Notamacropus eugenii: one gene and its partners. The protein of the gene in region 2 purifies or fractionates together with the protein of the main gene of each other region. This does not show direct contact. Links are inferred from orthologs where the notes say so. Each region holds a gene or a part of one and is shown on either strand. Other genes may lie near its edges.

The links.
Region 1: the proteins of DHX15 (region 2) and SF3B4 purify together in Homo sapiens (co-immunoprecipitation; 4 studies listed by BioGRID and IntAct, with this or other methods). This does not show direct contact. The link is inferred for Notamacropus eugenii from reciprocal best matches to the Homo sapiens genes DHX15 and SF3B4.
Region 3: the proteins of DHX15 (region 2) and SF3A3 fractionate together in Homo sapiens (co-fractionation; 3 studies listed by BioGRID and IntAct, with this or other methods). This does not show direct contact. The link is inferred for Notamacropus eugenii from reciprocal best matches to the Homo sapiens genes DHX15 and SF3A3.
Region 4: the proteins of DHX15 (region 2) and GCFC2 purify together in Homo sapiens (co-immunoprecipitation; 3 studies listed by BioGRID and IntAct, with this or other methods). This does not show direct contact. The link is inferred for Notamacropus eugenii from reciprocal best matches to the Homo sapiens genes DHX15 and GCFC2.

What each region holds. Positions count from the first base shown.
Region 1 is NC_092873.1:303,754,628-303,762,317, reverse strand, and holds the start of SF3B4 (splicing factor 3B subunit 4), read left to right. Parts: upstream 1-4,679; 5' UTR 4,680-5,017; coding exon 5,018-5,171; intron 5,172-5,497; coding exon 5,498-5,626; intron 5,627-5,914; coding exon 5,915-6,457; intron 6,458-6,753; coding exon 6,754-6,960; intron 6,961-7,690. Other genes in the region: MTMR11 (myotubularin-related protein 11), read left to right, coding at 1-133, 446-628, 964-1,257, 1,579-1,713. UniProt on the Homo sapiens protein: Component of the 17S U2 SnRNP complex of the spliceosome, a large ribonucleoprotein complex that removes introns from transcribed pre-mRNAs.
Region 2 is NC_092877.1:77,379,325-77,386,278, reverse strand, and holds the start of DHX15 (ATP-dependent RNA helicase DHX15), read left to right. Parts: upstream 1-3,938; 5' UTR 3,939-4,213; coding exon 4,214-4,284; intron 4,285-6,954.
Region 3 is NC_092876.1:81,241,410-81,248,891, reverse strand, and holds the start of SF3A3 (splicing factor 3A subunit 3), read right to left. Parts: upstream 3,013-7,482; 5' UTR 2,880-3,012; coding exon 2,784-2,879; intron 2,546-2,783; coding exon 2,498-2,545; intron 647-2,497; coding exon 594-646; intron 486-593; coding exon 380-485; intron 1-379. UniProt on the Homo sapiens protein: Component of the 17S U2 SnRNP complex of the spliceosome, a large ribonucleoprotein complex that removes introns from transcribed pre-mRNAs.
Region 4 is NC_092872.1:761,642,479-761,649,407, reverse strand, and holds the start of GCFC2 (intron Large complex component GCFC2), read right to left. Parts: upstream 3,003-6,929; 5' UTR 2,706-3,002; coding exon 2,522-2,705; intron 2,124-2,521; coding exon 2,058-2,123; intron 1,847-2,057; coding exon of another isoform or gene 1,790-1,846; coding exon 1,673-1,789; intron 964-1,672; coding exon 754-963; intron 100-753; coding exon 20-99; intron 1-19.

The DNA of each region.
Region 1 (7,690 bases), on a different chromosome or scaffold from region 2:
GGTTCATCAGTTTCCAGAAGAGTTTGAATTCTCAGAGTTCTTTCTCCTGGCCCTTCATGATAGTGTCAGGGTTCCTGATACTCCCACCTTCCTAAGAGACACCCCCTGGGAACGGGCAAAGCAGAGTGGGCAGGTAAGTGATTCTTTCTCTTTGCTTTTCCTGGGTTATTCTCCCTGAGTTTTAATCATGAGCTTTTTTTGCTGGGTGCTAAGAAAATGGGAAGAGAATTAGAAGTAAGGGAAGGTGCCTGGTCAGCGACTGCATGATCTTTGTCACTGAGGTTCCAAGACCTTTGATTTTTTGGGTGGTAGTGGTGGTGGTGTATGTGCGTGTGTGTACATGTTTGTGTAGGTGTTGCTTTATAATACTGCCCCTTTAATCTGAGAGAATGGTGGAGTTTCCCGAGGCTTAACTAGTCCTCTTTTTTTTCCTTCCTCTATCTAGTTCAGCTCCTATACGCAGGTGTATACACCAGGATCCCCTCAGTCTTCAGCTGGAGACCTTGTCCCCAGACCACCAACTGTCTGGGACTGGGGTCTTCGATATAGCCATCAGCAGATACTTCAGTTCTATAACCCCTGTTATGACCCACATCACTGCTCAGATTCCTATCCCCCTAAAGAACAGGTAAGCCTCATTGTAACAAGAGAGAAAGAATTAGGAAGATGGGGAAGAAATAGTTTCGTTAGTTTTTGCTTCCGATTCTCACGGTCCCAAGTGTCCCCCAAAGGCACAGATACTCTAGGAGGAGATGAAGAGGCAGTTTGGTGGTCTTCTTCCTTTTTCTCCAGTTTCTTCTCACCTAGCCTGTGAAGAAGCCACCCCTAATTCAATATTCCCTCCATTTTTATTTCTGAAGTCTTAGCCCTAAGCCATGGGGGAGGGTAGATGAGGCTTCAGGAAGATGCTGTAACTCCAGAACTGAATTATTTGGTAGTGAGCTGACTCTCTGCTTCTTGTAGCCAACTCCAGCGACTCCTGGCCCTCCACGATCCATCTTCCTTTTCTCCCGGGGAACTCTGACCCCACTGAACCAGCTCTGTCCTTGGCGAGATGGTTTTTCCTCACTGATGTCCTCGTCACGATGGCTCCTTCGACACAATACATCCACTGACAGCCTGGCTGACCAGGAGTGGGGACTCCCTCCTCACTGGGGGCCCTCCCCTTTGCCTCCAGGACTTCTGCTGCCTGGATTCCAAGGGCCCCAGATCAGACTTTGGAGACGTTGCTACCTAAGAGGGCGACCTGAGATCCAGGTAGGACTGGTATACAAAGGCAGGAATGTGGGGTGGCAAGTGGAGGCCAAAAGAAGGAAATTTGGCAGGACATCAGTCAACAAACATATTAAGTCCCTTCTATGTGCCAGGTACAGGGGAGATAAAGGTAAAAAACTGAAACATCCTTTCAAGGAACAATCATTGAATGTAAGATACTTATTTTAATGTTGGAGCAGTCTGGTGAAATCTGGAACTGCAAGGGGATTGGAGGAAATATTAGAAACAGTGAAGGCACTGGGTGAGTGGCGTGGCTGCACAGCTCTGCAATGACATCTTTTTTTGTCCCCTTCTCTCCTTCAGACAGGTCTATCGGCCCCAACAGTCTCTGGACTCTTGGATGAGCTGGCCCAGCTCCAGGAGCTGCTGAGGATGTGGTCTTCAGGGACATCGCCTGGGGCTCAGAAAACCAAAAACCCCCTGTCTCCATCCCGATGAGATGTCTGGCCCTCTTTAGGATTCTAGGTTTCTTTGATCTGCTGGATCTTCCCTTTGCCTTAAACTCCACCCTCCCAATTTATCCAATCACCAAACAAGCATAATAAGATTTAACCTGCTGTTCTGGCCCTGCCCCTAGCCCATAAGCACAGAACCAGATTTTGATCTGGAAGGGATCTTAGAGATCTAGTCTTATTCTTAAATGGGCTAGCTGGCTGTTAAACACACAGGACTGGGGCTCGAGAGAGCTAAGTATTCTTCTTGTGGCTCTGACTCCGTGTGACCTTGAGCAAATCACTTATCTTGAGCTGATTTTCTTAATCTGTAAAATATTATATGTACAGGGTGTCCCAAATGTGTGTGTGTGTGTGTGTGTGTGTGTGTGTGTGTGTGTGTACACACTAGAATATGTGGCTATTTCCAGGTCTGAAACTATGATTCTGAGTCAACTCCAACACTGACACCTGCTCCTCCCTCCAACTCCCCAGAGACTGTTTTGTGCCTGAAATGTTTTTCTTTGTAATTATCTTATTATTTAGGATCTTAACCTGCTCCCTTCAAGACCATCCTATCCTTTGTGTGTTTACGGTTGTATAGTATTTGAAGTGGAGGTACTGGTTATGACTCACCAACATGGCTCCTACAGACCTAATCCTAATTTTCCTTCTGCCTATCTCTCTACTTCTTAATTTCTAGTTATTCTCTTTGCAGCTTTCTATGGAAATAGAATGGAGAAGAGAGAGGAAGAAAGGGAATAGATCTTACTATGTGTTAGATATTAGGTTACAACTGTGATTTCTTCTGATTCTCATAACACCCCTGCACAGTATATGCTATTTTTATCCCAATTTTTCATTTAAGGAAACAGACTTTAAGTGACTTGCCTAGAGTCAACACAACTAGTAAGTGTTTGAGGATGGATTTGAAATCCAGGTCTTTCATGCTCCAGTCTCAGCTCTCTATGGCTTCTGAGTAGGATTGGGAGACTCTCTACCACCTCCATATGTAGATGTTTTGGTAGTGACAGAAACCATCAATGAAAAATATTTATACAAGCTATAGGTTTTGCTTCTGAGAAGAATAATGTGGGAATAGGTGCTAGGATAAAGTCGGGAAAATGGGGACAGAAAATCTTGTACTGTGGGAATGATATGTGGGCACAAGCATCATCATCCAACTGACTGATCATTTATTACCCAATGCCAATATTAGTTTCAGGGAAAACAAGGCAATGAGGAGAAGGGACCAAGTGAGAATTATGGTGGGGCCCAATTATATACAGGTTAACCCTTGTATGGCCTAGATTAAGAAGACTTCTCAGTGACTTTTTTCAGGGAGTAATATAGAAGAGTTTCAATTGTATTGGAGGTCAGGCTAAAGTCAAAGATCAAACTCTGTGAAATAAGCTAAGATCTGAATTCTTGGAGGTTCGAGCCTTAGACCTCCAGCAAGATTTAGAAGTTGGTGGGAAGTAGTATGGGACCAAACCTTTAAATGAGGATAACACGTAGAATAGGGATGGTTCTGGACTGGCTAACAAGAAGGAGTTTACTCCTTAAATCCTTTGTTACAGATATAGTTTGAGCATGGTACACACTTGGGAACTTGAAGGAATCCAATAAAATAAAATTTGTAATGGAATAGTTTAGTGTTTTGAGCTAAATGTCCCTCCTTCTTCAAGACATTTTTCTCAGTTATTAATCTTAGTGTCTTCCTTTTGAGACCACCCCCATTTTATCCTGTACATATCTTGTTTGTACATAGTTGTCTGCATTTTGTTTCCTCAATTGATCATGACGGCCTTGAGAACAGGAATGGATTTTTTGCCGTTCTTTGTATCCTCAGCCTTTAGTATGGTGCCTGGCACATAGTAGGTGCTTCACTAAATGCTAGTTGACTGACTGGGTCCTATACAGGTATGAATATATGAATATGCTCAGTGTGTACGGGATATAGCAAAGCCCATACATTATAAAACTACAGTCCACCATCCAGGGAGGATGCCTAGTGCAGGGAAGGAAAGAAGCATACAGCACTTACCACGGTGCTAAGAGCTTTACAAATATTAATTAGCTCACTCTGACCTTCACAACCACCCCGTGAAGTAAGTGTTGTTATAATTCCCATTTTACAGTGGAGGAAACTGAGACACAGAGGTTGTGACTTGCCCAAAACTTGCCATAGCTAGTAACATCTGAGGCTGGATTTGAGCTCAGGTCTTCCTAACTCTAGACCCATGGCTGTAGAGCAGACCCACCGCTGCATCCAGGGACCCTTGTGGGACATTGATGAGCTGGACCACAGACAGGGTCAGGAAGCTCAGCATCTGTGCCAAGAAGAGGCCAGGCGTTGGATGTCAGGAACTAGTGCAATCAATGCCCCTTAGGCCCCCTTTGTGTTAGGGTGCCAGGGAGATCCTGAGGGGTTCGGGCTGGAGGATGCCCGTTGGGCAGGGGGAGAGGCCTGCTAATAGTAGTCGTTGGTGTGTTTGGCAGCGATGCATTGTGATGAGGTGGGCTTTCATTTTGGTGTGGACTTGTGGGCTGGAGGCGGGGCGTGACATTGGCCGGAGGAAGGATCGTGCAGCAGGAGCAGCGGCGGCGGCGGCGGCGGCGGCGGCGGCAGCGGCAGCAGCAGGAGCGGCAGCAGGAGCAGCGGCAGCAGCATCAGCAGCGCCGTCACGTGACTTTTGGGGGGGTGGTTTGTTTTTTTTTAGCAAAGCTGCCAACGTCAGAGCCCTTCCTAGGTTACTAAACCTCCCTGGGCCTCAGTTTACCCAGTTGTGGACTTGAGGGGAGGTTGGACCGGACGGACTCCTAAGCTCTTTCCAGCTCCACATCGCTCCCTTTCTCAGCCCCACTTCCCCCATTCGCACAAACTCTGGGTTGGGGGCGGAAACGCCCCCCATTGCTATGGCAACTTTTCGGCGCCGCCTGGTTAGGAGGAAAGGGGGCGTTTCGGTGTCTGTGAGCCAGGAGCCGCTTTTCTAGGTCCTGATCATGATTGACCTCGATTTGGGGGTGGTCCTCGTACCGCTCTTTGGGGGTGAGGTGAGGGAGACTGAGATAAACTGTGGCGGTCAGAATGTCAAGATCTTGTGATTAGTTATCTTGAAAAATAAAGGTTTATTCCATTCAGGCTTCTGTGGTTCATGGTCGGGGCTGGGAGTGGGGGAGGAGAGCCGCTACTTAGACCCTCCCCGAAGTCACGTGGAGGAAGCCCCTGATGGTAGGACTCCGAGCCCTGCCTCAGGCGGCCCGTGCCAGCTCAGCCAACATGGCAGCCCACGCCCGGCGCTTCCGAGATGGCCGCCGCCGCGTCTCACGCTGCCCTCCTCCGGCAGCCCCGCCCCTACCGCTGCCCCGGAAGCGGAAAAGTTCCCGTTGCGGGGCCGCTGCCTGGAGACGGCGGGAGCAGATTCAGTATGGCGGCCGGGCCCATCTCCGAACGGAATCAGGGTGAGTGGGGGAGGAGGCGGGAAGCCCGGAACCGCGTCCGCACGGGCCCGAGCCCGGCTCGTTGAGGGGGCCCGGGCCGGGGGCTGGGGAAGCGGGTTCGCCGCGTCGCAGAGGCCCGGAGGCCTCCGCGACCCCATGGCCGAGCGGGTCGGGGGGAGAGGGGAGAGGCGGGAAGGGAGGGCTCCGCGGGTTTCCCGTGCACCTGCCCCCCGGGCCGTGGAGAAGCCGCCTGAGGAAGGCAGCGTGAGGCCCGGCCCTGGTCGGACACCGCTGCCCACCGGCGGTGGCCCGCCCCCTTCTCACGTCCGCATCCCTTCGCCCCGCAGATGCTACGGTGTACGTGGGGGGCCTGGACGAGAAGGTCAGCGAGCCGCTGCTCTGGGAGCTCTTTCTGCAGGCGGGGCCCGTGGTCAACACGCACATGCCCAAGGACAGAGTCACGGGGCAGCACCAAGGTGAGGAGGGGGAGGATATGGGGGAGGGAAGGGGCGTGCGAGGCCACGCGCCCCCGGGCGGCCAGTGTCAGCGAGGCTTTTACTCTCGTCTCTCCAAACTTTGTGCGGCTTCTAGCTTCCTTGGCTTGGATTCCTCCGCTGCGATGACAAGCACGCTCTTTTCTTCTCTTCCCCGTACGTGCCCCTGGGCTTTCTTTTTTTTGCGGGAGTGGGACAAATGGTGTCCCCTCGGGGCTCTTAGCGGACGGTGCGCGCCCAGTCTAACCTTCCGCCCTTGGCCTTCTCCAGGCTATGGCTTTGTGGAGTTCCTGAGCGAGGAGGATGCGGACTACGCCATTAAGATCATGAACATGATCAAGCTGTACGGGAAGCCCATACGAGTGAACAAAGCGTCAGCTCACAACAAGAACCTCGATGTGGGGGCCAACATTTTTATAGGGAACCTAGACCCCGAGATCGATGAGAAGCTGCTCTATGACACCTTCAGCGCCTTCGGGGTTATTTTGCAGACCCCCAAGATTATGCGGGACCCTGACACAGGCAACTCCAAGGGCTACGCCTTTATTAATTTTGCTTCGTTCGATGCCTCCGATGCAGCGATTGAGGCCATGAACGGGCAGTATCTGTGTAATCGGCCCATCACAGTGTCTTACGCCTTCAAGAAGGACTCTAAGGGGGAACGGCACGGCTCCGCGGCCGAGCGGCTTCTGGCAGCCCAGAACCCCCTGTCCCAGGCGGATCGGCCCCACCAGCTGTTTGCGGATGCACCACCTCCACCGTCCGCCCCCAATCCTGTTGTGTCTTCCTTGGGATCTGGGCTTCCTCCGCCAGGTAAAACATGGATTGGGCGTGTGAAAGTGAGGGGTAGACCAAGGCTGGCGGGACAAGGAGACGGAAGGGATAGTCGGAGTATGGTGAAGAAGTGAAGTAAGGGTTTGGAGATGGGAGGCTTGGAGATAATAATGCCCAGGCTGTAGATCTTTGTTTAAATTGCCTCTTATTGTATGAGTAATTTGTGGAGAGGGAAGGTCATTTTCTTAAGTGGCATGTGAATAGGGGGACATGGTGGGACAAAGTTTCTGTCCTGGTTTATTGATACAGACTCTTCTTTCTATATTTCTTTTTAGGTATGCCCCCACCAGGCTCATTCCCACCTCCAGTGCCACCTCCTGGAGCTCTTCCTCCAGGAATACCCCCAGCCATGCCTCCACCACCTATGCCTCCTGGGGCTGGAGCCCATGGCCCTCCATCAACAGGAACCCCTGGAGCAGGACATCCTGGACATGGACACTCACATCCACATCCATTCCCACCAGGTGGGATGCCTCATCCTGGTAGGTGTTCTGTGCTGGGAATGAGAGGGACAAATGAGGGGGAAGGGGCTGATTACATCTTGACTCTTCTTCTCTTTCTCTTTTTTCTATATCTTATGCACTTGGCTCCTCCCTTGTCCCTCCTATCCTTTCAACCTCCCTCCAATTCCTAATTCTGTTCCTGGGATGATATGTGATCCCATAGAGAGAACTTGTGAGAGTAGGAGGTTTTTCTATTTTAACTAATCAAGTAGTATATTTTTCTTTGAGAAAAATAGCATGGCTATGGCCTGTTTCCTGCCAACTTGATTCTCCTGTTTTCTCATCCCTTTACTTCTTTGTTTTTTGGGGGTTTTTTGATCTTACTTTATTTGAAGTTGTAGAAGTAAAGGTAATTTCTTTTAAATCAGCCTGATGTTTTCCCCAAGACCATCTGTTTCACTTGTAGTCATTCACAGTGATGACCTGTATTCACTTGAGGGTAGCTCTGAAGGCCTAAAGGAGAACTGGTTTTTTTAATTAATTTTTTTTTTTCAGTTTTCTTCAATCACTTTTATAAATCTTAGATTTTTTTCCCCCTTTCTTCCCCTCCCTCCCCCTCCCTCCCTGAGATAGCATTCAGTCTTAGATGGGTTCTACATATACATTCTTCCTAAATACATTTTCACCTTAGCCATGTTGCATGGAAAAACTAAAATGAATGGGAGAAATCATGAGAAAAAACAGAACACGAGAAAATTGTCTGCTTCAT
Region 2 (6,954 bases):
CAGGGTCTTTCAATCAACTAAGCAATTGTACAAAGATGGTCTGCCAGCTCACTACTCATCACCTCATCAAGGAGATCTCCTTGAGGTAAGTGCGAATTATGCTCAGAAAGATTTTGTGGAGGTGGGAAAGGAGGCCTCTAGATCAGCAATTGTTGATATTTTTCTTAGTTACCTATTCTTGGTAATCATTTCTCCTCCCCCGTTGGGAAATTCTCCCCTCTTTCAGGTATCTTGAGAATTAATCCCTCAATGCTCTCAAAATTGTATTACCTCCAATTTGAATATCTATGCATTCTTGGACTACAAAGCATCACTGCTTTTTCCAACCTTGTTTTCCTTAGTGCTGTTTCAACTTTCCATCTAGCTCTAGTAATTGATAGAAACAAAAGAAAGTTTGTTCAAGAAATCGTAGAATCCCAGACTTGGCAGATACCTCAGAAGTTATCTAATCTAAAAGCATACACGAACAGGGGTCCCCTATTCAGCAGACCTGACAGGTGATCATCTAGTTTTTGCTTCCAGGAGAGTTGCAAATAAGAATGATCAAACCATAAATTTAGAAGGACCTGACAGCATTTATATTCACTCAGCAGCATAGAAACAACTGAGTTTAATACCTATCTAGCATGAAAGAAATTAAAATAGGAAACCATCAAGTGACCAGCTTTCTGCTCTCATTCCCACCCTCATTCCCAACCCAACAGTCCCCAAGGTGGAATTTTCAGCCTTCAGGGTATCTACCATCACAGTCTTTTCCCTGAAGTCTTTCTCTATCTCCCAGCAGAATTGGTTTTTAAAAAAGGTAATTTAAAGCACATTTTGTGAAGCTTGCTTGGGTCCCAAAATTGCTAGTGTAAAGGGCTTACCCTGGTCATACTATGATTACCTAACATGGAAGCATACTCTGCCTCCGGTGTTTTCCTACCATGTAAGTGGATGTAGCCTCCTTTTATTGGTTATGTGACCAGAAAAGGCTACATCTTTAAAACTAGCCAGACTGAGAGTCTCTCTTTACAAGCTCACTGTTTCCTGCTGTGTCCAGAGGGTCCAAGTCACCAAAGGGCTGGGCACAATGAACTTAACTGGGAAGAGGATATACTCTTACCCTGCCTCCCAGAAACAGGTCTGAGGTCCTTGTTCTGCATCATTTGTCTTTCTTAGTTTCAGGTGCCAGTGGTGATCCCCATTAGTGCGAGTGCTCAAGCCATAGTTACCTTGGAGCCAGGAGTCCAGGTGAGATGTTGCAGTTGGCCAGGCTGGTACAGAAAATTGGAGAAGTCAGGGTGGCTGGGACTTCAGACTGAAGTATGTTTGGACTTGGAACTGGACCGTGCTTTATAGGAACTGAGCTAAGCTATGAATCTAATCTTCCTCCTCACCCCAGAATATGAGGTAGTGAAAAATGGGAGTTGGGGAATTATTTTCTGCCTGTTGGAGAATATGCCTGTATATTTGTTATTATACCTTTGAAACAAATATTCCCTTATAAAGGCAAATGTAATAGATATGTAGCTAAACAGAACTGGGATGTAAAGAATCACTCCCTGGAAGAAACACCATTGGTGGGGCTGGAGCCTAAATACCCTACACCATTTAAGGGTATTGTACAACTCTGGACTTCAGGCCAGGGTAGACAGTATTATACTAGTAATATTCTTTCTAAAACACTTTAAAGTAAAGAGAGTGGGAGAAAACAGTGAGTGTATGTCTACCATGCTAGATAACACAGATAGGAGCTAAAATATAGGAAGAACACACCTAGTAATTCATTTGAGACAGAATTCAAGAAAAGAGAACAACCAGCATGGCTTCATCAAGAACAGGTCATACCAGACTAACTTTTTTTGACATGATTACTAGACTGGCAGATCAGGAAAATACTGATATAATTTATATTTCTGTAGAGCATTTCATAGAGTCTCTCCTACAATTCTTATGGATGAGCTAGATGAAAGTGCTCTTTTCCACTTTATTTTGATGTTTTTCAGAGCAGAAAATAGTTCAAATCTGGGACCAATCTGATGGGACACACTAGGATTATCACAGTCTTTCTCCTAAACTTTTGCTCAAAAATAGCCTAGAGGCATAAAACTGGGTTATTGTCTTAAGTTTTTTCTTTTAAAGTTCATAATGGCTTTATTTGTGCTTTGAAGTTCCATGATTGATTTTATACCTCATTGCGAGGTCTAAAGCTCCACTTCAGCAACTTTCTTCTTTTAAAGAGAGATTTACTTTTTAAAAATTAGCTCTTATTTTTAGATCATCTTCAATTCCAAATACATCCCTCTCCTCGCTCCCACTCAGAAAATCATCCTTTGTTACAAAAGGAAAAAGAAAAAAAACCAGTTCTCCAAAACCAACACATTAAATGAGTCTGACAGTATATGGAATATAAGCTCCGTGAGATAAAGACTATTTTAGGTTTTTGCTTTTGCTTTGCATCCCTAGCACTTACCATAGTGCCACAGATTAAGCACTTTATAAAGGCATCATTAAGTAATTAATATTCCATACCTAGAGTCTACCAACTCTCCACTGCAGTCTTATTACATCTTTGGGAGTCAAGTTTGGTCATTATACTCAACATGGCATTCATTTTCATTGTTTTCTATTCTTTCCATTTATATTGCTATAATAATAAAAAAACTATATACAAACATATAACTAAATTTTTTGCAAAACATTTTACATATACTTCCTCATTTGAGGCTCACAACTACGTGGAATATTTGTTATTCTTATCCCCATTTTATAGATGAGAAAACTGAGGCTGAGAGAAGTCAAAGGACTTGCCCAGGGCCACACAGCTAGTGTCTGAGACAAGATCTGTATTTATGTTTTCCTGACTATCCTCAAGACCACCTACCTATTTCAATCCGTGCACCTTATTTTCTAAGTTCTACTTATTTCATTTTCCATCAGTTTGTTTAAAAGCTTCCAATGTTTCTCTGTATTCTTCATATAAACTGTTTCTCACAGCAGAGCAATACTCTATTGTACCACCCTTTATTTCCCAACCTGCTGAAGCCTACTTTGTTTCAAATTTTGTTTTATTGGAGTAGTTATAAATGTTGACATAAACATTTTTACACACAGGGAGACTTTCTATCTTTGACCCTCTGGGAATATTTCTCAGATCTTCGGATCAAAGGATACTGACACATTAGTTACTTCAAAATTCTAAGTCCCTTTGCAGAAGGAACCACAGCTCCACCCACTATGGATTAGTAGTGTGCCTACTTTCCCGCAATACTCCAACATTAATTATTTCCATCTTTTGTCCACTTTGAAACATTTGCTTGGCATGGGCTTGACTCTCCTTTATCTGTAGTGATTTAGAGCCTCTGTTCATGCTTATTGACTATTTCAATTCTTTTCCTTTTGAGCAGTGTTGGTTCACCTCCTTTGGAACGGGTTACCTCTGGAGGGAGGGAGCGTCCCCTCATTCAAAGTTGGGGTCTTCTAGTTCAGGTCTGAGTTGGCCCATCGCCCAGCGCGCTGCCAGTACCTGCGGATAGACTCACTGGCTGGATGGTTTGGGAGGTAGGTCGCTTCCCATGGGGAGGCTCTGTGGTTCAATAGCTAATGGGGAAACTTAGGCTCCTAGGGGGAGGGGGTCCTTTCCCACGCTCCTCAGCTGGCAACAATGTGGCAAGGTGAGCTTGGGAGGGGGGACTCCACCTTTCTGCGCCTGGACAGCCCCGTCCTTTCATTCAACCCAACTTTCCACAACACGTGGGTTTCTCCCCCACCCCCTCCCGCCACTTCTCCAAGATTTTCCTCCTCACTGAGGGTGGAGGTGACACCGAGGTAATCTTCCCAGCAGCCTTTTCGCATTACGTGCCCCATCACGACAAGCCTAGAGGGCGGGCTATTTCTTGCCCCTCCCCCTCCTCGCCTCTTCCTAGCAAAAGGCGGGACGGGGTTGTGCGGCGGTCGGCTGGACGAATGAGCGAGAGAGAAACGGCGAGGAGCGGGACGCCGCGCGCGCGCACCCAGGCACGCACGCACGCGACGGAGGCGCGCGCGCAGGCCCGGTCCTTGCCGCCGCCGCCATTTTGCCTTCTGGTCCCGGCCGCACGGCGGAGGCTGTTGTAGGTGGGGGGGGGGCTCCCGGAACGAAGGATCGCCCTTGTCCCTGTTGCCGCCGGTTGCCCCTCCTCTCGTTCCCTTTTTAAACTCCTTCTTCCATCGCCGCTGTGCCAGCGCGACCATGTCCAAGCGGCACCGGTTAGACCTAGGGGAAGATTATCCCTCCGGCAAGAAACGTGCGGGGAGCGATGGGTAAGCGAGGCCGGCCCGAGGCGGGAGGGGGCGCCGGGCTTTGTTGATGTTGGGGCGGGCAGAGACGAGGTCTCGGCTGGGCCCGAGATCACCGGTATTTTCTTTCGGATCTCGGGCCCGTGGCAGGCGGCCCGGGGGAGGCTTTGCTCTCACGGGAACCCTCTCGGGTGGCGGCGCCAACTCCAGGCCCAGCCCTAGCCGGGGAGGCCGAAGGGCCCGGCACGAGTTTCCCCCCCTCCCCTCCCCAGGCCTTTCGGAGCTGCTGGGGAGCAAGGCCTGCCCGGGGAGGGGGTGGGGTGGGATCGGTGAGCCTCGTGGCCGGAGCGATTCTCTCAGGCCCGGGAATTCCTCTTCGCCCTCCTCCGGCAGTCTTTCCGGAGGACCAAGGAGCTGAGGGCCGCGGGGGACAGGGTTAGGCCTGTCAGGGCGACCCGAGGCCGAGTCCAGGAAAGGGAGAGCGGCGCGTGGGCCGGGTGTGGGCCGGGGAGGGCGCGCGCGTGGTGAGTTGTGTTGGTGTGAGTGTGAGTACGTCCGTATGTCCGTCCGTGTCCGCTGGCCGAGCCCCCAGCCGGAGACGCGGCTTGCGGATCCATTCAAAGTCTTTCAAAGTGGATGCTAAAAGAGGACAACTTCCGCTTCTTAAGCCGCGCTCCCGCGGGCTTCGGGTTTTCCCTGTCCTCGTTGGAAGGGTTGATCCTGGTCATCGTGGAAGCACCCCTCGTGGTTTCCGCTGCTATCTTCTTTTCTGTCCCATTTTTAAACATTTTTCTTTCACGTTTTGAGTTCCAAATTCTGTACTTTCCTCCCCTCCTCCACCCTGAGACGGTAAGCCATCGGATGTAGGTTATACGTATGCAGTTACTTAAAACATCTCCTTATAAGTCATTCTGAACAAGACGACAGGAAAAAAATGAAAAAAAGTGAAGAAGAGCGTGTTTCAGTCTCTGTTCAGTCAGTATTAGCTCTTTCTCCGGAGACTGCTGTTGTGCTTCGTCCTTAGTCCTTTGGGATTGTCTTGGATCACTGTTATTGCTGAGAATAGTCAAGTCATTCACAGTTACGATGCACAGCGTTCTCCTGGTTCTGTTCGGTTCTTTGTGCATCAGTTATATAAGTCTTTCCGGGTTTTTCTGAAATCATCCTGTTTGTCATTACTTATACGTTCCATTAAAGTTATATACTACAGCTTGTTTAGCCATTCCTAAATTGGTGGGCATCCCTTTGACTTCCAACTCTTAGCTACCACAAAAAGAGCAGCTATAAATAGTTTTGTACAAATGGGCCCTTCTCCACCCCCCACCCCCCCTTTTTTTTTGATGTCTATGGGATATAGACCTAGCAGTGATATTGCTGGATCTAAGGTATTCACAGTTTGGTAGCCCTAATGGTTGGATCAGTTCACAACTCCCATCAACCGAACATTGGTATCTAGGTTTTACCACATGCCCTCCAACACCCAAAATTTTCTTTTTTGTCATATTAGCCACTCTGATAGGTGTAAAGAGGTACCTCAGAGTTGTTTTAATTTGCATTTCTCTAATCAGTAGTGATTTAGAGCATTTTTATATGGCAATAGATAGCCTTGATTTCTTTTATATGAAAGCTGTTTATATCCGTTGATCATTTATCAGTTGGGGAATGACTTGTACATTTATGGATTTGACTCAATTCTCTGTGTATTTGAAAAATGAGACTTTTGTAAGAGATACTTGCTGCAAAAAATTTTTCCCTAGTTGTCGGCTTCCTATTTAATTTTGGTTTCTTTGGTTTGGCTTATACAAAACTTGAATTTTATATAATCAAAATGATCTATTTTATATTTTGTAGTGTTCTAATATCTTCTTTGATCCTAAATTCTTCCCCTATCCATAAATCTGACGGATAAACTGTTCTGTACTCTCTTAATTTGCTTATGAGGTCACCCTTTCTTTTATGTGTAAATCACATACTCCTTTTGACCTTATCTTGATGTACAGTGTGAAATGTTGGTCTATGCCTAGTTTCTGCCAAACTGTTTTCCAGTTTTCCCAGCAGTTTTTGACAAATGAGTTTTTGTTCCAAAAGCTTGGATGTTTGGATTTATCATATATTAGATGATTATAGTTGTTTACTATAATGTAATTTGTACCTAATCTATTCCACTGACCCACCACTCTGTTTCAGAGCCAATATCAGATTGTTTTGATAATTACTGCTTTATAAAATATAGTTTGAGATATACTTCTGTTTCTTAGCAAGTACCAGATTGTTTTGATAATTACCTCTTTATAATACAGTTTGAGATCTGGCACAGCTAGACCACCTTCTTTTGCATTTTTACCCATTGCTTTTCTAACTCTTAGTATTTTGAGATCTGAAGTAGTAAAGTCTCATATTTGCAACTTGGGCTTTGAGGCCAGAAGCATAATTGGGTTTTTAAGGTTTTTTTCTTTTTCTAGAAACCTTGGGTAAGTTAATGTCACCCATTTGGAAGGCAGAATTTTTGGAGGTCATATTTCTATCGACACATTTGCTCAGATTGTTTTCCTGTTATCTTCTTGGAGAAGAGATAGTATGGATTTTAAAATTCATTCAGATAGTCTTGCCCATAATAGGTACTTAAGAAATACTTGTGAAATGAATGATATTCTGCATCCCAAGTTGAAGGTTGTTGGTGTAACTAAGCAATGA
Region 3 (7,482 bases), on a different chromosome or scaffold from region 2:
CAGGATTTGAGCCCAAGTCTTCCTCACTTTAAGTCCCGCAGTCTACTGTGCCACTACACCAAAACACCTATCTGTCATACTATACTAACAACAATAAAAATATATATATTCTCTACATTCATACATGATTTTACAGGAAAAGGTGTTAATACAGCAAACAAGGAAAGACAGAGACAACTGTTGCCAAAGTCTGTCTTACACTGTCTTTCAATGACAAATATACTGACACTTGCTCAACTGTTGTAGGTCATCAAAACAATTCAAAGGTGCAAATTAGGTAACTGATGAGTCAAAACAAAACCAAAGATCAATAGTGTTCCTCCTCCCTGCTACTTCTTTCTCAAGTATCCCTTGGCTCACTCTGAAAGTCTATGCTTACCTCATTTGGGTGCTTCCGGTGGAATTCTTTTATCTGTTTGAGTCTATTATAAAATTCTGCGAATTCATTTGGTCCTGAAATAGCACTGAGTTCCTCCTTTCTTAACCTGAAATTCCCAAAGGGACCAAAAGAGAAAACAAAGGACCAGGGTCAGTAATTTGATTGACACTGGCACCCCACAATCACCCATACATGGCGCAGCACTGCCACTTACCCATCCTTGTCATCATACAAATCTCTCAGATTCCCACTGACTTCCATATACCTCTAAAAGGCAAAAAAACCAAATAAAAACACTGTATCAACATAAAGCAGTTTCTGTCGCCACATAGTTGGATATCCAACAAAGACTCTTCAGTGATTATTCAAGATAAATTAAGGGACACAAGGACTTCAGCAGACAGTAAAGATGTTACTTATATTGTTATTGCTGTATTCATCCTTTGGTTATCGAAAAGACCGTGTGCACTTGACTTTGTTTTGAGTGAGGGTCACCAGCCTCACTTTTCCTCCTGAACCATCTGGATCCAGTGACCAGATATTCATCAGGATGACTGGAAACGGCCTTATTTATGACATAATTTGAGAATGAAGGTCTATTCCCCATTTAACTTCTTTCTCTACTAACCCATCATCATTCTCTAATATTACTTTTTGGTCTAGCACCTTAGTAAAATCTAACTAAGTGGAGAGTTAAGAAGAGCATAGTATGCTGGCCTCAGTCATCAAGACATTAGTGGGAACATATTTATTAGAGACTTTTTATATTCAAAGCTAGAGCAGCTTCCTCAAAGATGGGATGAAAACTGTATATAAAAGAAGGGAGTTAAAAGATAAGTCTAAAAGGAAGGCAAGCTTGGTGGTACGATAGTAGTAGTAATGGTGGTGAAAAAAGTGGTAGTATTAACAATCAATTAAAAAAAATTAGTTCTGAATTCTCTCCTTCCCTCCACCACCCAATGAAAAGGCAGCAACAAAAAAAGTACAATACCCATTATATGCATAAAATAACGCAAAATATATTTACACGTTCCTTATTTCCAGCTATAACTACAACTAATAACATAACACTTCACAATATTTCAAAGGTCGCCAAGTGGTTTACTCAATCCTGTGCAAATATGATTACAGTTGTTTCAGAAAAGAGAACACCAAAGATTAAGTTGTGAAATGCCTTGCTTGAGGTCATAAACGTTCTAATAACAATCGCTACCATTTATATTTCACTGTAAGGTTTGCAAAGCTCTTGACCAGCACCATCTCATTTTCACCTCACCACAATCTTTGGAGGTCGGTGCTAGAACTATTCCCATTTTACAGATAAGGACACTGAGGCAGACAGAGGTGAAGCGACTTGCCCAGGGGTGCACAGACAGGAAGCACGTGAACTCAGGTCTTCCCCATCCCAGGCGGAGCTGGTCTATCGGCTGTGGTAAAGGCACCACAGGAGGGGCCTAGATCGTCCAAAAGCGTGGCGAGCAAGGCAGAGGTCTTGGTCAGGCAGGGGACAGACCAGATGCTTGCCCAGGGGTACTCCTGAGAGTCCAACCTCTTCCTTCTGGCGGCTCCCTTCAGAAGCGAACCTACCTCTCTGCACAGAGAGGGTGGTTAGTGGTCACTGAGTCGGAAGGAAGCCCCAGGAGAAACGCCAATCCCCACTGGTCCGTGACCGCCTTGAGAAGCGGACTGTTTGCTGTTGTGCCCTCAGCACAGTGCCAGGCCCACAAGTTCTGCCGGACCACGGATGGCCTGGTGCCTCGCCGCACAAGCACTAATTAGGCGCCCGCTATGCCGGTCAATAAGCCGCTATTAACAGTTTATTCATTTAAATGATACGAAATTAATAAATTAATTCGGTCAGCAAACTTAATAACAACTTAATTTCAATAACTAATAAATTTAACGATTTAGTTAAAATAACTTAATAACAAACTCGGAGGACGCAGGGAAAGACACAAAAGCAGGCAGTCGCTGCCCTTCAGGGGCTCCCGGTCTCACGGGGGAGACCACCCGCAAACAGCCGCGGAGGACCCGGACTCCCCGAGCGGCCGGCCGGGCCTGCCCAGTGGGGGGCCTACGCTCCAACAGCCTTCGGCCCCTCCCCGCCCCAGCACTCACGTCCTGCATAGCCCGAGTGCGATGGTCCGAGTTGATCTGGTCCCGGAGCTGAAGGGGGAAGACACAAGAGCCTGGGTCAGCCTCCACCCGCCGGGGACGCTCGGCATTTCCCTTCCTCCAGACCCCCCCCCCCCCACCCCCGGACAGAACGGGACCCCCAGGCTGGACGCGTCCCTGGCACACGGGAGATCCTGGGAGCCGGGGGAGGGGCAGGATCCCGGATGTGGCCGCTTTTTTTTCCTCTCCCTCCCCGTCTCGTCCCGCCGCCCTCCCTCCGGCCGCTCACCGTGGACTTCTTAATAAGCATTTCTTTGGCCATGACGTCCATGAGCCGCTCCTTCTCTTCATGGTAGCGCCGCTGCTGCTCGAGGATGGTCTCCATCTTGCCCCCGCCACCTCTACCTCACTCCGGAAGTTGCGGCAGCCGCCAGTGCGCTTCTCCGCGCTCTTCCGCCCGCGCCTCACACCCAGCGACACCAAGGTTCCGCCCTCGCCGGAAGTCCTTGCTTGGGATCGGGGATGGGGGAGGAGACAGTACAGGGAGCGGCAGCGAGAGCAGCGGGGCGCTGGGGCCGAGGCGGCAGCGCCCCCTGCTGCCCTTGCGGAGACACTGGCGCCCATCAGCCGCCTGCGCGCAGGGTGTCCCGAGCTGCCAGAGTGGGTGCGCTCCCGGGGCGTCCTGGAGCCTGGGCTCTGGGGGCCAGGGCCGGCGAGGCACCAGCCCTCATTCCCAGCCTGGCCCCTTGACAGCGGGCCGCGAGCGCAGCCGGGGAGGTGTCCCGTCCCCATTTCACAGATGAACAACTGCCCTTGTTGTTACTACGTCCAGAGCCCTTATTTTAGTCTTCGCCTTCCTCACACTTGCACGATGCTTTACTCATCATCCCAGAGCGTCCTTGGAAACGTTCAGGATCCACGTTTCACAGCCTCATTTCACAGATAAGACCCCGAGACCCGGATAAAGTGGCGCAAACCAGACAGAAAGCCCCTCTTCCACGATGAAATCATCCCTACACAAGTCTCCAGGGACTCCCTGTTGCCCTCGGAATCAGATACAAAATGCAGTTTGTCATTCAAAGCCCTGCTCACTTTTCTAACCGTCTTACACCCTTACCTTGTACTCTTTGATCTGGCAACGCTGGTCTCCTGATAGTTCCACAAACAAGACCTTCTCTCTCTGCTTTCTCGGTGTTTTCCCTTGGATTTCTGGTCCCTGCACCTAGATGGCTCTGGAGGAGAAAGTGAGGCTGGTGACCTTGCACAATCCTGCCTCACTTAAATCCAATTCACTTGCAGGTCATGGTGTTGATGGGCTTCAGACTCTGGGAACCTCCCTGAGCTCCCCTTGAATCTTCCCACTTAACGTGGCCTTTCATACTCAAATCTGTTGCCCTTGGCCTAGCGTGGCCTTCCATTGTCTGTTACCTTTTGCACCTACTTTCCACCCAGACCCTGCATTGTCTGATACTTCCCATTTGCTTCCAGCTGTTTCTCACCCTGGATTTCATCCCTAGTTACCCCAATTCATCCCATCAAGATCCTCCTTAGACCCTCCTCCCAGACCTCTAGATCTTTCCCACACACATTCTGTATATAAGTTCCCTCTAGCCTCCATGAAGGCACTCAGATTCAGTCCAGCTCAGATTCTGTCTAGCTGAGATTCTATCTGGCCCACTTGGGAATACAAGCCTTACAAATGCTTAAGCTCCTTAAGAGTCAACCAATATGGCAAATCTTTAATAAACTTTGTTTTTCATTGTTTTTGAGAAGGCTTGAGTCAAATTCATTCGAGCAAAACCCGGCGTGTCAGTATTTCGGGGTCCCCAGCAGCCCTGAACCTCAACAGTATCACCTTCCTGATATCATGGTCCTCCTCGGCTTCCTTCAAGTCCCCACCAAAACCCCACCTTCCGCAGGAAGCTTTTTAATCCTAGCACCTTTTCTCCATTGATTATCTCCAGTTTATCCTGCATGTAGCTTGTTTGTACTTAATTGTTTACCTGTTGTCTGAGTTAACTCAAGAAAAAGGCCTGGTTTTTGCCTTTCTTACTATCTCTAGTGCTTAGTATATAATTTTAATGTTTAACAAATATTTGTTGGTTGACATATCTATCTACACAGGAGAAAACTACATAGGAGGCTCAGAGAACAATTTCCATAGTCCTTTAAAATTTACAAAACTCTTTTTTCACAGCCTTGTGATGTTATCACTCCCATTTTTACATTTTTACAGACTCTGAGATGAAGTGAGTTGCCACGGTTTACACAGCTCCCACTCTTTTTCTGCTCCACTGTTACTGATGGGGTTCAGACTCTGGGAGCCTCTTTGACTCCCCTTGAATCTTCCCACTTAATCTGGCCTTTCTTACTCAAATCTAATCTTCCCATTTGTTCCAGCAGTCTCAGGAAGCCCATGGGCTTTTCATTATCATTCTTCTCAGGTCTCTGTTGCACTCCCCACCCTTGATCCCATCAAAACCCCATTCCCCAGTCTACCAACCACTCCCCTCAAGATCTGTATCCATTCCCATACAGCCCCTATCAAGAGCTCTGGATTGCCCCACCTGCTTCCCACCTAGGTGCCCCCTAGTCTGCCCCCTAGTCTGTCTTGTGATAGCCTCCAGCTGTTTCCAGCCTTTGACCCTCCTTGGATTTCCTCCTGGGACTTCTCCTCAAGACCCTTCCTAAACCCCTCCTCCCATCACCCTGGACTACTTGACCACCCCCCAGATCCCTCCTATACCCTTTTTTGTGTTTAAGTTCCATCTTGCCTCCATGAAGGCGCTCAGATGCAATCCAGCTCAGACTCTGTCTAGCTGAGATTCCATCTGGCCCACTTGTGAATACAAGCGTCACAAATGCTTAGGCTCTTTAAGAGGCAACCCAATTTGGCGAATCTTTAATAAACTTTGTTTTCTTTGGCTTTAAGAAGGCTTGAGTCGAATTCATTCGAGCACGACCCAGACTGTCTGTATTTGGGGGTTCCCCATCACCCCTCAACCTCGTCATTACCAGCCCATATGTTGGCTCAACCTTCTCTCCAAGTTAGCAATAAACTGTTCTCCCACGGAAAATCAATCTAATCTATTGACATAAGGTCTTCTGGTAGTCAACTTGCCTTGGAGCTACTGCTTTTGTTGAATTTAAATGTTTAGCTTGGGGAGGATAAGTCAATGATTGGTTTAGCACTCTAGGCCACACATCTCAGCTCTTGTCTGTGGATAAGTTCATTTACCTTATACTTTCAGTGAGGTACATGTAGATGATGAGGTTAATGCACACATTGCCAAGGCTCTCTCAGTGTTTGGGAGGCTCCCAAGGAAAGTGCAAGAGAATAGTATTAGACTGCCTACTAAACTGAAGGTCTTCAGAGCTGTTGTGCTGACCTCATTGTTGTACGCCTGCGAAACCTGGACAATCTACCAGCGCCATGCCAGGAAACTGAATTGCTTCCATTTGAATTGTCGTAGGAAGATTCTGATCACCTGGCAGGATAAAGTACCAGATGCTGAGGTCCTCTTTTGAGCTGAATTGACAATCGTTCAAACTCTGTGGGAGAGAGTATAACTCAGATGGGCTGGCCACATTGTTCAAATGCCAAATGTATGTTCACCCAAAAGATTATTTTAAGAAGAACTCACACAAGACAAGCAGTCACGTAGAGGTCAGTAGAAGTGATACAAGGACACTCTCAAGGTCTCTTTGAAGAGCTTTGGAATTGATTGTGAGGCATGGGAGACACTGGCATAGGACTGCCCAATATGGTGTGTCAGTATCAAAGAAGGTCCTGTGTGTGTTCTATGAGTAAAACAGAATTGCAGTAGCTCAAAAGAAAGGTGACATGCCAATTTAGAGATGTCTCCACTCCAAATGTCCATGTGGTCTGTTTGTGCTCAGCCAGTGACAGACCCTTTTAGGCTTGTATTACCACAGTTGGACACACTGATGCTGACATGGTGATGTCATTTTAGTCCTCTTTGAGTATTAAGGATAACAACCCACCAGCTATTAATCATCTACCTTGTAATAGGTGTTTAGGGATGGGGGCAGCAGATAGAATAGAATCAATGTGGCTTAGTTTAGTAATTTCAATGCCAAGTGCTATACCCTTTATGAAATACCTCCAACTTTAACTCATGGGTGGATCCCTAGGGGGCAACTGCCCACAGGTTTAAGGTACTCTGTGTTTTACACTCGTAAAAACTGTTGCTCATGAGCCCCCACCAGAGCATTTACTTCTAATAATCATCAGGTTGGCACACTTAGGTTAAAAGAAAAATATTTTCTGAAATGGCAGAAATAACAGTAACAACACATTCCCTTCATAAACCAGCGGTGCAGTCTCCTACCAAACAAACATATCACAACCACACACAGCGTTAGTGAAAAGACTGAGAACACACTAGTAGAGAGGCCAACACTTAGGGAATACATGGGACCAAGGCAACTTATCTGAAGCTCCCCAGGGTCCTTTCCCTTCTTGTAGGTCATCATGCTGCTTGCTCTGGGTTCAATGTCTCTGCAGGGTAGTTTGCTCAGCGGGACTCTCCCAGCCTGTTTCCCTCAGCAGCTCAACTCTCAATATCCAGAGCTGGTTTTCTCTGGACTCACAGAGATCAGTCACATTGCTCCAAAACTGTTTCCCTATTCAATCCTCAATTCAATTCCTAGAAAGTATATCCTGCTTTTTTAAAGGGTCATCCATTCTTGACCAGCCAGTGGCTAAGTTACCCTCTAATTCTGTCAGTTTGGATCAAAAATCTTGTAAAGGTCCTTCTCTGGCTCATTTTACAGATGAGGAAACTGAGTCAAACAGAAGTTAAGTGGCATCCAAAGTCACACTATTAGTATGTATATGAGGTCATATTTGAACCCAGGTCTCTTCAATTCCTGGCCCTGATCTCTATCCCCTGTGCCACCTAGCTGCTTCTAAATGGGGAAGAGAGGAAAAGAGGGAGAGAATATGGAATTTAAAGTAAAAAAGA
Region 4 (6,929 bases), on a different chromosome or scaffold from region 2:
TCCCCAGGGCACATGGTACCATGTCTGTGTCTCGCAGAACCTTCCTCATCTGCTGGTCCTCCCAAACGTCCTGAGCCTCCCCCTCTGAGTTGCTGGAAGCTAGAATGAAGAAGGGAAGGCTGAGGATGGCCCCTCAGCCCTCAAACCTGTGCCCTCTGGAGGGGCCTCGGCCTTCCCCACCTTCCCTGTGCCCTTCCAGCTGAGCCCCCAGTCACCTTTTTCTTCTTGTAACATAACATCTCAGGCCTCAAGTTTGGGCCAGGCCAGGGGGCCCCACCACATCCCTCTTCTGCTAAAGGCATGATGCTGCATGACCTCCTCAGACAAGTGCAAAGGCACCAGATCTGAAGCCAAAGGACCTTGGTTCAAATCTCACCTCTGACACTTATATCAGACCTGCGTGACCTTGAGCGAGTCACCTTCCTGGGCCTGTTTTCCCCGCTAAAATGGGGAATGGGGTCCAATTTACAAGAGTAGGCAGTTTCAGAGGAACAAAGTTAAAGCACCCTCTGAGGCTCTTCCTCACGCCCATCGGAGCAGGATACTCATGCCCTGTTGATGCAGCTGCAGCCCATGGATCCGATGGTTCTGTGCAATCCAGAACAAGGAACCACACCCACCCTCGGACCCTAGGCGCACACCCTAAGGAGACCAAAGAAAACAGAAATGCCTGTTCCAGCTCTTTGGGTGGTGGCAGAGTACTGGATATGAGAGCCAATGAAGGGGATGGATTCCAGAGCAAGGCACCCTCACCTGCTTCGCCAGCCCCTCTGAGTCTCAGGGAGTGAATCCCTGCTACTCCAGGGACAGGCTCATCGTCAGAGTCGGCATCGTTGCTCCCCTTTAAATCCAAGACGGGGTTCCACGGCCTCTCACTCAGTGGCAGGTAGTCCTCTTGTGCCTTGGCTCCCTTCTGCTGCCTTCTTCCCACCACTCGGGCTTGCATTGGGTCAGCGAAGCCCCCTGTGACACAGGGGACCAGCAGCATCAAGGACCCTCATTGGCCACTGGTAGCCCCCCACAAAGGACTTAGGTGCACTCTCGAGCCACTACCAAGCTCTTCTGCACACGAGAAACCCACCTGCCAGCCCAGAAGTCACCACCCTCCTTTCCTGTGCAAAGTCATGGAAACCCCTACTTCCCAACACACAGATGCACAGGTCAGGGTGAGCCCTGTCCCGAGTGCTCTCAGGCCAGCACTGCAGGAGAACCTGGCTTCCCCTCTCTGGCTCAGGCTCAGAACTGGCCACAGCACCATGGGTTCACCCAGGTGGACCAGAGCGGACTGCTCTGCTGCACCCTATGGGACCATCCCCGAGACCTGTGTCTGTCCTTAGAAAAAGTGCCCCTTTCCCACCTCCAGTCATGACTCTTCCCCAGGAGGCGGCACAGGATGCAGGACAGGAGGACCTTGTGGCCCTAGATCTATGGCCTGTACTCTGCATCTTCCCTAAAGGACCCACAGGAACTGAGTGAAAAGGGTCAGGGAGAGCCTCTGGGTCACCCCGCAGGGTTCAAGGAAAGGTTTTGGTTGAGCAAGGACTCCTCAGAGGATGCAGATCTGGCCATGGACATCGCTGGTCAGATCAGGAGGGTCTGGCATCAGACAGGGAGTGCCAGGTGACTGCTGATCGCCCAGCAGCCCCAGGACTGGCCCATGGGGGCCACGCACCTGGCCAGTCATCCTGCGCTCTTGGGGAACGAGCCTCCTCGCCAGATGAGCTTCCCGAGAAGTCTTGGGCTTCTGCCCCGGTGTCCTCATCCTCATGGCCAGGCGGCAGGGGGGACTCTGGGGGACAAGCAGTGGCAGCGATGCTAGTCAGCGCCAGGCAGCCAGTGGGGGGACCTGGACAGGGGGAGCTCCCTCAGAACCCCTCAGCGCCCTTCCTCAGGCCCAGTCCAGGCAGAACGCGGGCCCTCCACAACGGGGAGGATCCCTCCAACAAGGCTGATTGCAGCCCTTCCCTCCCCTGACCTTGAGCCCCAGGCTAACACTTCTTCCCTGGGGTGGGAGCTCCCCCCAAGACGCCAGCAGGGGTTCCAGCAGGGGCGCTCACCATTCCTTTCTGGAGAACTGGAGCACCCCTGCACACCTGGAGGGGCGGGTCCACACCGGGAGGTGCCTGGAGACAGAGTGGGAAACTGAGGCAGGGCAGCGAGGGTGGGGCCAGAGGCTGTGGCCTGAGAGTCTGGGGGCTGAGGGGCGGGGAGGGTCCATGGGGACAGGGGATCAGAATGAGGGGTGCCTGGGGTGTCTGCGTCATGACCCTAACTTGACAGGGGAGGAAATAGGAGGGGGTTGGAGTTAGCTCCTGCCCCTGCCCCGCCCGCACTGCCTCAGTTTCCTTCATCCCTGCACAACCCTCGAGGGGCCCCTCCCCATGGAATCGATGAGGTCATGCATCCGTGGAAGACGGGAGCTCTCGGACATCGATTGAGCTTCCCTGGAGCTCCGCGCATGCGCCAGGAGTCCGCGTGTGCGCACGCACCCTCCCCACCCCATGGCTGCCCTCGCACGGACCTGCGCGGCGCGAAGTCGCCCAAACGCGGGCGCGGCCGCGACTCCGCGGAGCCCCGAGTGTGCGCTCGGGAGCGCGGCCGCCGAGGCCCGAATCAGGTGTGGGCCCAGGGTCAGAGTCGGGGTCGGAGCTGGAGCCTGAGTCCGCCTGGCGCTGGCGGAAGTTCCGCGGAGGTCGCTGAGACATAGTCGACAGGTACTGCGCCGGCGCGAGGCCCCGCTGGTTCCGGCTCCCCGCAATCTGAATAAGACACTTTCGGACCGACGCGCCTGCGCAGTGGGCCCGCACGCCATTGGCTCGCGGTCCTTCCTGGCTCCGCCCCACCTGGCTCCGCCCCCCACCAGCTGTTCCAGAGCCCTCCCTGTCCCCGGAATTGAGAGGGAGGAAGGGAGAGAATTTGGAACTCTGTTTTAAAAACAAATGTTAAAAATTGTTTTAACATGTCACTGGGGAAAAATAGAATAATAAAAAGAAAGGTTTTGGTTGTGAGATCACCTCCGTCGCAGCAGCTCAGAAGCGCCCGAACTCCGAGGCAGCGTGCCCGTGCCCCTGCATTCGTGGGCACGGTGGCTCCTTGGGGAAGGCAGGAGGAGGAGGGATCCCTTCCCTTTCACGGAGTCTCTGTGCCATGTGGCAGCGGCGCCCTGACGCCTCCAGCAGGGTCTGCCAGCGCGGGGTCTGCCAGCGCGGGGTCTGCCACGCAGGCTTTTAGGTCTGCTTTTGTGAGAGGGTCTTCTGTGATCACGTACACCAGCGGAGAAATCAAGCAGTGCTCAGCAGACGGAGCCTGGAGAAGTCACAGACTCAGGCATCCTGGAAGTCACGATGGGAAAGAGTTCTTAGGGCACCTGCCTGCAACCTTGGAGGGGTACGGTCAAAGCTTGTGCAGGATATTTTATAGCAAACGTGCCAAATGTGCCAACTAGGTTATTCAGGGCAGGATTAAGCAGTGGTTAAGGAATAGTTAGTTCTTAAAGGAACATGCACTTTTAGGATATACTGTGCAGGCATGTTACCCAAGGGGCAGGCCTACATGGAGGTGTGCTTTTAGGCCTCAACCAGCAGTCAGGGCTGACTGAGAAATACCCGGGCTGCTCCCATCAAGCAAGACAAACATAAGGGAGTAAACACATGTCTGAGTCTAGGATACATGTGATTGATCTTTAGGACCCAGTACACAGCCAGTTCAACCAGTACATAGATGGTTCAAACTAATAAATTGTAGAGGTGCAGCTGGCTGTTGTAGCAGGCAGAGAGATAAGGGTTTGGCTAGGGCGGGCTGTCCTTGGGAGACGGTGTATTGAGGCTAGGGAGAAATGTGATGTTAGGGTTGGGCCGCCCATCGTGACCATTACATACACACATAGTTACCAGAGAGAGAACCATAGGCACCATGTGCTCATGGCCATGTGGCAGCCCCAGACGAGGCAGCCAAGTTATGCCTGCATCTGATGCTGATGGTACCTCTCTCTTGTCCTGCAGATCTATAGCATTTTTTCCTCATCATTCAAAAGCCGATCGGGAGACAGCATTTTTCCTTTTAGTCATGCATTTGATTTCCATGCTCAACAAGTAATTATGATACTTTTAATTAGCCTAAAATTAGTGGACAGGAAATAAAGATTACCACCTAAGTGGAAAGGTAACAGGCTACCCCATATCACACCCTTCTTGAAACATGCTTACCAAAGCTTTTGTGGGTTAGATCATAGGCACAGACTGCTGCCCAAGTTCCAAGAACTGTGCCCCCATGTCAGACATGGCTCTTGTAGGTGGGGGACAGGAGAGAGGAAAAAATAGATAATTCAATCAAGCTCTGACCTTGATTCAAATCTAAGCCCTATGGAGCACTCTCTGAAGGCTGGAGTGTTCCAGGAGGAACTTTTTGGTGGTGTGGAAGGAGGAAAAGACCTGCAGTGTTCACTGGTTGTGCTTCAGTTCAGCAGCAGTCAAGCACCAAGGCTGGGCTGAGGAAAGCCGGACCCTTCCCAGGAATGCTTGAGGGGTTTGCATTCATTGTTCTGGTGTCCAGGCAGAGCCCTGCAGGAGCAATGATGAAACGTGGAGAAGGTGGGCGGAGTGATAATGAACTGAAGAGAACTCTTTCTTATTGGTTTGGAAGGGGGCTGGACTGCCAGGACTCACCAAGGTCACATCAAAGAGCAAACTGAGGGAGGCCAGAGAAATGAACTGACTTGCCCAAGGTCTTTCCCTGCCCTGTGAGAGAGCACCCTTCCCCTTCAGCAGCTTATAGACCAGTACATGGAAGTTAGCAGGGTTGGTCAGGAATCATGAAGAAGGGACATGATCACGTTGCCCCCTCCTCCATGCCCATCACCTTGTGGACACATCAGGGGCTCTCTCACCCTTTGGCTTTGGATGCCCCATTTGGCGTTGGCATTGGATGAGCGGCGCAGGATGAGCCACTGACCCGCATCTACATCATTTTTCTTAGATGCCCTCAGACTCCTTCCTTAGTCTTCCCTCTCCCCCTCTAGTGTCTCCCCAAAGGGCAGCTTGGACCAGTCTTTCTCACTAGATTTCTGTGATTCACGAGATTCCTGCTACCACCACAGTATCAGGGCATCCTATTATGTCTTCTTAACAATGGATAATTATAATTTTTTAGTTTCACAAATAAGACACATTTCATTTATTTTCACTTTATGGTTAATTTTTTCTACAAACAATACAATTTTAAAAACCTATTTATTTTGATGGTTCTAACATTTGTGGAGCGCTATGCCATCCATGTTATCTATCGAGCATTATTAATTCTTAGCCCCAAGGGTCCACGAGGACTGGCTGGGATCTAGAATCTTTGGGATCCACAGGCCTCTAGGGCAAGGAGTCGTGGCTGTAGGACGCCGGGGCTGGCGGGTGGCATGACCTCCGCGTGGCCTCTGAGCTGGTGGACGAACTGCCCCCACTGGGAAGCCACCGACTCAGACTCAAAGGGAGGGCACGTGCAGGGACTTGTGCAGGGAGCAAGTCCGCACCCCTCTCGGCCAGGCCCCGCCCCTATGGCCCCGCCCCCCTCGCTCTCCCAGTCTCCTTGGAAGGTCTCCTTCCTAGACCACGTCCCTCTTCTCTTCAGGCCCCGCCCCTCCTGACCTCATCTTCCGCCTCCACATTCCCATTCCTGGCCCTCCTGCCCCGCCCCTCCGCCCTCCAGGCTCCGTCCTCATCATCCGGGCCCGCCCCCTCGCTCTCCCAGTCTCCTTGGAAGGTTTCATTCCTAGGCCCCGCCCCTCCTGGCCTCGTCTTCAGCCTCCACGGTCCCTTTCCCCCGTCCCCCTCCCCTGTCTCCAGGCTCCGCCCCCGACTTCCATCTGGAGGATCGTCACATGACGTACCGACGGGCGCGGTGACGTGAGATGACGACGCGATGACGTAGGGGCGGGGCCGGGCGGCGCTGACAGGCGGCTCTGACAGGAGCCGCAGCAGCTGCTTAGCTGTGGCTCGTGGCCCGTCAGCCCCTGAGCGCAGTCGGGGCCCCTGGCTCGGGTCCTCGCGGACGGCCGAGGGAGCCGCGGAGGCGGTGGCGGAGGCGGAGCAGGCGGCGGCAGGTGGGGGCGCGCGGGGGGCGCGGGGTGGGGGGGGTCACGCGGAAGCAGGAAGCAGGAAGGAGGCCCCGCTTCCGGTGGAGACTGCCCGGCTGCTACGGGGGCGGCGGCGGGGATCGGGGAGGGGGGCGGCCCGCGCGTGTGGGGGGGGCCCTGCGAAGGGGGGCCGGGGGGGGGGGGGGTCACTCGTCCAGGAATGGTCTGAGGGCGGATTCGAACTCGGGTCCTACTGACTCGGGCTGTGCGCAGGACGCGGGCCCGGCTGACGGCAGCGATCAGGGGTGGGAGGTAGGGGCTCCTGGGATGGGGGGGCGCCGCCCCTCTCCCCCAGTGACCTGGCTGTGATGACCCTCCCCAGACCCCGCCCGCCCTCCCCCAGGCTTTGTGCTGATTGCCGCACTGCGGTCCTCCTGGTCCCCCTGTCAGACCCTCCTCCCCTCCCCCCGTCAGACCCTCCTCCCCTCCCCCAGTCAGACCCTCCTCCCCTCCCCCAGTCAGACCCTCCTCCCCTCCCCCAGTCAGACCCTCCTCCCCTCCCCCCAGTCAGACCCTCCTCCCCTCCCCCCAGTCAGACCCTCCTCCCCTCCCCCCAGTCAGACCCTCCTCCCCTCCCCCCAGTCAGACCCTCCTCCCCTCCCCCCAGTCAGACCCTCCTCCCCTCCCCCCAGTCAGACCCTCCTCCCCTCCCCCAGTCAGACCCTCCTCCCCTCCCCCAGTCAGACCCTCCTCCCCTCCCCCCAGTCAGACCCTCCTCCCCTCCCCCCAGTCAGACCCTCCTCCCCTCCCCCCAGTCAGACCCTCCTCCCCTCCCCCCAGTCAGACCCTCCTCCCCTCCCCCAGTCAG